Arabidopsis thaliana: one gene and its partner. The protein of the gene in region 1 interacts with the protein of each later gene in a pairwise test. Each region holds a gene or a part of one and is shown on either strand. Other genes may lie near its edges.

Region 1 (4,726 bases):
AGGCCCTTGCCCCAGCTCTTCTGATCATGTTGGTGCTCAGGTCAACTTCAACTAACTGATCATGACCTTCAACTGCCTTTGCAATTAAGATAGTCCCTTCGTCTTTGAGTTCATTCTCAGATAAATTCAGCTTTGCAAGAGACTGTTTGGAGGCGATGCAAGCTGCCAAATTTCCAGTGGATTTTACAGTAATGTCGTTACCAGCCAATTCTAGAACTTCAAGAGAAGGGGCGGACTTAAGTAGAGCTTCAGAAAGTGCCTCTGTTCCCTCATCCTCCAAGTTCAGGTAACTCATATAGATCTCGGTTAAATGAGTCAAGACTGATAAAGTCTTGGCCAGGGCAATTCCACCTTCGACTCCAAACATGTTGTCACGAAGATCAAGTTTCTTCAAGTGGCTACAGTGTTCAAGTGCTTCAGCTAGTGCAACACCACCTTCTGAACCAATCCTTGTAGATGAACACCGGAAATCTTCCAAAGATGGACACTCCCTGACAATCTCTGCAATGGCAGTTGCTCCTTCATCTCCTGTCATGTTGTTATGAAACTGAAGAACCCTGATTTTGTCAGTAGAAGGGAGAAGCTCACGAACTGCACGTGCAGCATCCTCGGAAATGCCATCATTCATCAGATAGAGCTCCTCCAAGTCATGCTGAGAATTGATGAGAGAAGCAAATGCCCTAATTCCCTTTTCTCCCAAAGCATTGTCCGAGAGATTCAGATACCTAAGCTTAGAACCCTCTAAAGCAGATGAAAACATATTCATGACTTCAAGCGCTTCAGCCTCTGGTCTTCCTGCAACAAAATCCGAGAGATCCACTTCCGTCAGCTGATCCTTGATGGAAGACAAAACGCTCGCAGCAAATTTGGCTGCTTCAGACCCAAAACTCCTGTTGCTAAAACGGATTTTGGTATAGGAGTTACGCGGGTCAGCCAGAGGCCTCAAAAGGTCGCGTGCCTCCTCTTCTTCAATAAAAGCTCTGCTCCCACCAGATATATCAAAAAAGACATCACCATCCTTGCTCACCTCAACCTCGGATTCTTCCTGTGGACCACGTTTGATGACATCAAGCATGAGCTTGCTGGATTCTTTAGCATAGACGTGAACAGCAGAAGTGCCATCACCATCAGGCTCGTTCTGGAAGTGTTTGTTGGCAGTAGCAAAGGCCAAATCTTCAATGCGCTTGGCGTCTTGCTCAGCCTCTTCAACAGACAAAAGACCGTACTTCCTGGAGAAGATGGAAGGGGTGGTAATGTTCTTGGTCATCCGCTCAACAAGCATGAGACGGGTACTCTTACTCGGTGGCCACATCTTCACTGACAAAACACGGTTCTGTGTGGTTTTCGCTGAATGATCCATTCTACTACTGCTTGGTTTTCTTCTGTAATTCAATACAAGGACAACCATTACTCAATCTGACATAGTATTCCAAGGAAAAAGAGAGAGCATAACATGTAGATCCAATCGAAAACGAAGATGGTGTCGAAGAATCTAACTACATTTCTATTGTAAATCCATTAATTAAAAACTGCATTTTTTAGACAAGGAAACCCTCAAAATCACACTGCAAACGAGAAGAATATATTTCGAAACAAAAAGAAACCCAGAAACATGAGAGAACAATACGACGGTACCTTTTTTTTCTCAGCGGATGGATCGAAGAAATGGGTCTCTCTATACTCTCTCGGACGGAGAAAAAGAAAGGAATAGAAAAGTGAATTCAAAGAAGAAGCGTGAATGAGAAGCAGAGTGAGAGAATCATTGATCTGCGTGCGTGACGATAATGGGAGGCAATGATGCTTTAGTTTATTTTTGAAAATCAAATTTCAAAAATCAAAAAGACAAACATCGGAGAGCCCATCCATGGAGATTAGGGTTTATTCTATCTCCGAAATGACGATTAAGCCCCTACACAACCCTAACCACGAAAGCCCAAAGCCCATTAATAACTAATTTAGAAAGCCCAGTCTTCTTCTTGCTAAAAATTAATAATGGAAAAAAGACAGGGCAGCGCAGCGATGATTAAGGTGACACGGTGGGCTCCCACCACCGCCAGCTGGACTCGCCGACGGTGAACTGTCTCTCTCTACCACACATCACTCCTTCCTTCTGTCCTTTCTTTTTTGTATTTATTATTATTATTCATTTTAAAATCAAAAACCCTTAAATTATTAAATAAAATAAAATAAAAGGCAATAATGGAAACTTTCCTTCTTCTTCACAATTCTTCGCGGCTTCTTTTAGCTTCTAAGCTTCAGAGCAGCAAAAAAAAAACAATGGAGAAGCGCCGGAGATAGATCTGCTTTCTTCCATTCTCCGGACCTTCTCTAGTTCACGAACCAACTTCTTCCACTTTATTCTCGTAAGCTTCTTCCACTTTATTCCTAATTCTTGACTCTCAAGATTCTTGGTACTTGGTAGGTAGGGAGACATATAGAGAGGGTTTAGGTTCTTGATTAGGAATTAGTTCACCTGCTTGAAATTTACTCTACATACGTCTTCTATTTCAAAACCCTATTCAAAGTTACCATTTTTATGCACATCATCATCTTCATTGCAGATTCGTTGGAGAAATGGACTCTCTCGCAACCGATCCAGCTTTCATTGATTCGGATGTATACCTCAGGTTAGGACTTATTATTGAGGGCAAACGATTGAAAAAGCCACCGACTGTTCTCTCACGCCTCTCTTCTTCTCTGGAGAGATCTCTGTTACTCAATCATGATGACAAGATTCTGCTTGGATCGCCAGACTCTGTTACCGTGTTTGACGGGAGATCTCCCCCTGAGATCAGTATTGCACACTACTTGGATCGCATTTTCAAGTACTCTTGCTGCAGTCCCTCCTGCTTCGTCATTGCGCATATCTACATTGATCACTTTCTCCATAAGACCCGAGCCCTTCTCAAACCCCTTAATGTCCACCGCCTTATCATTACAACTGTCATGTTAGCTGCTAAAGTCTTCGATGATAGGTATGTTACTCACTAAACCTGGTATCAAATTCAACACGCAAATAAGTCTTCAATCATAGATTCATTGATCTCTGGTGTTGTGCAGGTATTTCAACAATGCATACTACGCAAGAGTGGGAGGTGTGACTACGAGAGAGTTAAACAGATTGGAGATGGAGTTGTTGTTTACCCTTGACTTCAAGCTTCAGGTAGATCCTCAGACGTTTCACACACACTGTTGTCAGTTAGAAAAGCAGAACAGAGACGGCTTCCAGATCGAGTGGCCCATAAAAGAAGCATGCCGAGCCAACAAAGAGACTTGGCAGAAGAGGACACCCGACTCACTCTGCTCTCAAACCACAGCACGCTGATCGGCAAGGGTAAGATAGGATTATTTTGTGTTTTAGTAGTGATGATTCTTTTGCATGATTGATTGTTTGTGACAATTGTGTGTAGTAGAAAATCTGAAAATTTCTACCAACTCATTCTTTAAGAAGTTGCTATAATATAGTTTCCTTGATACTGGTTAAACTACTAAATAGATCTCTACTTTACATCAAACCGCAACTATTCCATCTGCTGCTGCATTTCACATTAGCGACAGGAGGCTCTGCTGCTTTGCCATTACAAGGAGTATCGTTAATCTTGGGCGGTGGTTAAGCAGCAGTAGCAGGAGCCTCAACATTACCACAAGCACCTGAACCACCACCGCCATTGCTATTCTTAGGGTCAGAGGACGGTGGTGCGATTGGAGATAGTGAGTCCCGTGAGTGGTAGCCCCTGGGATCATCATGTGACTCCTTAAACGTTATACTGATGACCCTCTTGTCGGTAATCTTTCATGTGTTTGATCCCACTAGCGTTTTTGTCAAGCAAGTCCTGTAGGTGTACGGTCTGGTCAAAGGTGCTGACATGGACCTGACGTCGGCAAGTTGATGGCATGGCGAGCGGAGTTGCCATAGAAATGTCATCAGGAGACTCTGGTTCAGGTTCCCACAAAAGCTCGGCTCTTTTGCCGGTTAATATCAGTGTTCACTTCTATCGTCCCTTCGTTTGCATTAACCTTGATGGAATGCACTCCTAATCATAAATCCACCATTGCTAATTATATATATCAGAAACGGTAGTAAATATATGCATAATCAATCACCTTCAACGTTTAGCATGGCTCGTTTCACCTTTCTCGCACATTCGGCACAAGTACAACATTTGGGTTCCAGTTTAAGAACACGAGTCTGCTGTATACAGAAATCAAAACGAGACAAAAACAGATTTACCATATATAAACAAAATATTTGTGATCGGTGTAAAAACATCTCTTGGTCATCATGTAAAATAAGAAACCAACTCGATGGAATGGGGAATGACTTGAAGGAGGATGACACAAAAATATTTTGTATTAAGTTTGACACAAACGTAATAATATTATGTTTTTACATAAAACAAAAATATACTGATCGTGTGCTTAAATCCTAAAGGCGCAGGCTTGGTTTTAATTTTGAATGTTAAAAGAAATCTATTTTCGAAAACTAAAAAAATTTACTTGGAAAAAATGGAATAAAAAGAAAAACATTTAGGTGGTTGGTTAGTTATTAAGGTTTTGGTTTTTCTGGATTCACTAATCTACTTACCTTTGTAGAAAATGCTTGTTTATATGAATAGAGACGTTCGAAGTAGGCATGAAGTTTTTTGTTTGCTTAAAATTTTTAATTTGAGTGAGATAAAACCGTTAAAAGTTTATCCTAAAATTTGATAGCTACGCTAATTTTCCA
Region 2 (4,521 bases), 3.3 Mb from region 1:
TGAAAGAACAGGTTTGTACTTGAGTAATAACTTGTGTGTATATATCAATATGAAGGTCTTGATTTTCAAATAAGGTTTGGTTGTTGTTTCTCTCTTTTCAGTTAGAAATCGCAAAGAGAAAAGAAGCGTCATGCATTGTACAATATGCGAAACGGGAACAAGAAATGGCAGAATTGAAGGTAATTCTCGAGAAACTCATTGCCTACCACTTTGATTCCTGACTGATGCTATCACATGTTTTCTTGACCATTACATAGAATAGATGTCGCTAAACACAGTCTTGTATTTTGTATTTCTAGTCAGCTGTTCGCGATTTGAAATCTCAACTCAAGCCAGCGTCAATGCAGGTATATAGTTCTCCCAATGTTTTGATTCTGGAATAATTTATACAATTGTGCCAACAATACAAATCGTGAAAAAAGTTAGCTGTTGAAGTAACTTGGACTTTTCTAGGCATAGTCCGCTTTTTATGCCGTAGTGTACCTTTTATGACGGTCATCCTCGACCTTGATGCATGTAGAGGGAAACCTTTTCCTTGCCTTTTAGATTTCAGTCTGAATACGATGATAAGCGCATGTTTCTTGTAAACCTTTACCTGGCATCTGAATTATTAACAAGTCTGAATAGAAGAAATGGCTATAAATTTTGAATTGCAATGGTCATTTAGCAGCTTGTCATGATCAGATAGCAGTGTAGATTATTTATTCTTTGTTTACCTTTGTAGGCGAGGAGGTTGTTACTGGATCCAGCAATTCATGAAGAATTTTCACGTCTGAAGGTCTGCACCTACTCGTTTCTATTTACCCTTAGACTACTTTTTCATAAGGATGTATTTGTCGTAATATATCCTTAGATAATCCAAACTGTATCTACGGAACAAAATTCCGCTTTCGTTATGAATGGCCTGAAAGAATAATTCCTTAATAACTGATAGCTGACACTGTCGTAGTAGATACAGTTGAGGACGAACATTCCCAACTTTTTGTTAATGTACATTTGTTGCAGTTAAGTAAAGAGTAGATGAAGTTTGATTCCATGTTTCTATTATGCAGAATCTAGTAGAGGAAAAAGACAAGAAGATCAAGGAACTCCAGGACAACATTGCAGCAGTTACTTTTACTCCTCAAAGCAAGAATGGAAAGATGCTTATGGCAAAGTGCAGAACCCTGCAAGAGGAAAATGAGGAGATTGGGCACCAAGCTGCCGAAGGAAAGGTATAGTTTGTTCTACTCTCAGTCTTCAATCTGGAATTATATGAATTATATAGTAAAGCAGTAGTCTTCTTCAACCTTTGTAAAACATGATTCCCTGAAAAGGGTAAAGAAATTGATGCTTGCCTATGTTCATGTGGAATGGCAGATTCATGAACTAGCAATAAAGCTTGCAATGCAGAAGTCTCAAAACGCGGAACTTAGAAGTCAATTTGAAGGTAAGTCATATGTTGATATTAAGTTATAGCAAAGATTTTTGTAGAGTTTGCAATTTGGATTTGAGGATTTTTGTGGAATGCAGGACTGTACAAACACATGGAGGAATTAACTAATGATGTTGAGAGATCAAATGAAACGGTGTTGATCCTTTTCTCTTATCTCTTAATTCCTCAAGATTTTTCTTAAAACGGAAGAATGATTATGGTTTTGTTGGAAATATGTGACTTTGATAAATCTCAGGTGATAATATTGCAAGAGAAACTGGAAGAGAAAGAGAAGGAGATAGAGAGAGTAAAGAAAGGACTGGAAATTGTGTCTGAGCTAGTAGGTGACAAGAAAGATGAAGTTGATGAAATTGATGAAGATGCAAAAGAAGAAATTGCTGGTGGAGAATAGGAATTTGTAGCTTTCAAAAAATGTTTTGTACATTTTGAAGTTCAAAATCACATTTCTTCATTCGTTATCTGTTTCATGAAACAGAAAGTTCTAATCTTCATCTTCTATTAATATGTTTTAATTCGCACCATTGGTGTTTCGATATCGATATGTGGCTTCCCGATATAACTCGTGAAGAATTTGAACTCGTCAACTCACGCAAATCATCTGAGTAGATATCAGATTAGACCAAAATAAGTGAGTCCAATTAGTTTTCCCCAAAAACATTCACAGAGGTCACGACTTTAGGTTAATCTGTTGCAGTTGTCACGAACGAATTCAAAATCCAAAGGAGCGGGAAAAACGAAGTGACGTGGAAGTATCTTAGCGAAAGCATCTCTCTCTCTCTCTCTCACAATCCATCATCTTCATTAATCTGATCAAATAATAGGGTTAATCAAAAGTCCAGAAACCAACACAGTTCAATTTTACGAAACCTCTCAGAAATGGAGAAGTACGAGAAGCTAGAGAAGGTCGGAGAAGGAACATACGGGAAAGTCTACAAAGCGATGGAGAAAGGAACTGGTAAGCTTGTTGCTCTGAAGAAAACTCGTCTCGAGATGGACGAAGAAGGTATTCCACCAACTGCTCTTCGTGAGATCTCGCTTCTCCAGATGTTATCAACATCGATCTATGTTGTTCGATTACTCTGCGTCGAACATGTTCATCAACCATCAACCAAATCTCAATCTACCAAATCCAATCTCTATCTCGTTTTCGAGTATCTCGATACTGATCTTAAGAAATTCATCGATTCGTATAGGAAAGGACCTAATCCTAAGCCTCTTGAGCCTTTTTTGATTCAGAAGTTGATGTTTCAGCTTTGTAAAGGTGTTGCGCATTGTCATAGTCATGGTGTGCTTCACCGTGATCTTAAACCGCAGAATCTTCTTCTGGTGAAAGATAAAGAGCTTCTTAAGATTGCTGATTTGGGTCTTGGTCGTGCTTTTACTGTTCCTCTTAAGTCTTATACGCATGAGATTGTTACTCTTTGGTATAGAGCTCCTGAAGTTCTTCTTGGATCTACTCATTATTCAACTGGTGTTGACATGTGGTCTGTTGGTTGTATCTTTGGTTAGTAGTCTCAATTATGCTTTTATGTTTTTGAATTCGTCTCTCTGCGATGTGATTTTGTATTTATGCTGTTTCAATCTTTGAATTTGTATAGCTGAGATGGTTCGGAGGCAAGCTCTTTTCCCTGGTGATTCTGAGTTTCAGCAATTGCTTCATATCTTCAGGTATTTTGAATTTACCTTCCATTACTTCTTCTGGTTTTGTCCTGTTTCAGTGTGAATTGCATCACTGAATGATATGCTAGCTTACCAATTGAGAACAACTGATTCTATATAGTCCAGGTTTCTTTGACCAATTATTCAATGGATTTAGCATTCTTGAATAGAGACTATGATCTTTACTAATGGTTCCTATTTGGTTCATGGAGGTTGCTAGGAACACCAACTGAGCAGCAATGGCCGGGTGTTTCCACACTGCGTGACTGGCATGTTTACCCTAAGTGGGAGCCGCAAGACTTAACTCTTGCTGTTCCTTCTCTTTCACCTCAAGGAGTTGATCTTCTCACGGTAAATAACTCCCTGATGACCATAGCTTTGTTGCAAAGTTGCTCTAATATTGTTACCTCTTGCTTCTGCTTCCCTCTTTTTTTCCTAAGCTGAATTGCTTGGTTAAATCTTTCTGATTGAGCTTATGTTTGTACAATTGCAGAAAATGCTCAAGTACAATCCAGCCGAAAGAATTTCAGCAAAAACAGCACTTGATCACCCATATTTTGACAGCCTTGACAAGTCTCAGTTCTGAAGTTCATTGCTGTATCTGTTGTCATCGTCTTGGTGAATTTAAACATTTGATCTATCTTTGTTTCCGACACATTAGTGTCTTATGTTTGGTTTAGAGATTTGTAGTCTTTCAGAAGAAACTGGTAAAGCTTGTATTCTCAAGTGAATGTAAAACACAATGGTGTGGTAGCAATGAGATGATTTTCTATCAATCGCTTGTTTTTGTGTAATCATACAAAGTTGATGCTCAACTATCTGAATCAAGTCAATTTTGAAAATTAAAGTGAGACCTTACAGGTGGAATAAAGGGTCTTTCATAGAATTGTCAAAACCCAAATGTTACGTACAATGGTATTAGTGTACACAACTGGCATTCTGACGCGCACACTTGCCCACAAATGGTTTACAACACAGATGGCTGCTCAAAGACACTAAGTTAAAAAGATTTATCGCTACACACAATTGAAGGAAACCAAATGATACATTCGTAGTAGTAGTAGTAGCAGCTAACGATGACGATGTATGTGAAATCAATTGGACCACACATGAACAAGGCCGTGTCTGTTTCCTGTGTATATCTCATTGCGTTCTTCGTCGTAGAAAAGAGCGGTTATGTCTTCCAAAGCTTCAGCTACAGCGTTTCTTCTTTGCTTTGAGTTCTTTCCCATACAATTACTGCTGCTGCTCTCATCATCTTTTGGAGGCCCACTGCTTGGTGTTATTTTAGCTAAGCATTTCCCAGTCAATATATTGCTGATATTGATTGATCCCGCTGGATCATCCCACAAAACACCAATAATCAATATCCATCAATGAGATTTGTTAGGTTATAATATCTGGTTAATATTATCTTGAGGGGTTAT

What was found.
Region 2: the proteins of CYCP1;1 (region 1) and CDKB1;1 interact in a two-hybrid assay, tested with the Arabidopsis thaliana proteins (one study listed by BioGRID).

What each region holds. Positions count from the first base shown.
Region 1 is NC_003074.8:23,321,742-23,326,467, reverse strand, and holds CYCP1;1 (cyclin p1;1), read left to right. Parts: upstream 1-2,186; 5' UTR 2,187-2,574; coding exon 2,575-2,975; intron 2,976-3,060; coding exon 3,061-3,325; 3' UTR 3,326-4,109; downstream 4,110-4,726. Other genes in the region: RANGAP1 (RAN GTPase activating protein 1), read right to left, coding at 1-1,360.
Region 2 is NC_003074.8:20,057,571-20,062,091, forward strand, and holds CDKB1;1 (cyclin-dependent kinase B1;1), read left to right. Parts: upstream 1-2,100; 5' UTR 2,101-2,311; coding exon 2,312-2,939; intron 2,940-3,033; coding exon 3,034-3,103; intron 3,104-3,306; coding exon 3,307-3,445; intron 3,446-3,587; coding exon 3,588-3,680; 3' UTR 3,681-3,918; downstream 3,919-4,521. Other genes in the region: FIP37 (FKBP12 interacting protein 37), read left to right, coding at 1-11, 102-179, 300-347, 725-778, 1,053-1,214, 1,360-1,429, 1,513-1,568, 1,671-1,826; AT3G54190 (Transducin/WD40 repeat-like superfamily protein), read right to left, coding at 4,189-4,430. UniProt on the Arabidopsis thaliana protein: May control G2/M (mitosis) phase progression. Plays a role in regulating seedling growth in darkness via regulation of hypocotyl cell elongation and cotyledon cell development. Plays a role in stomatal development. Required to suppress endoreduplication.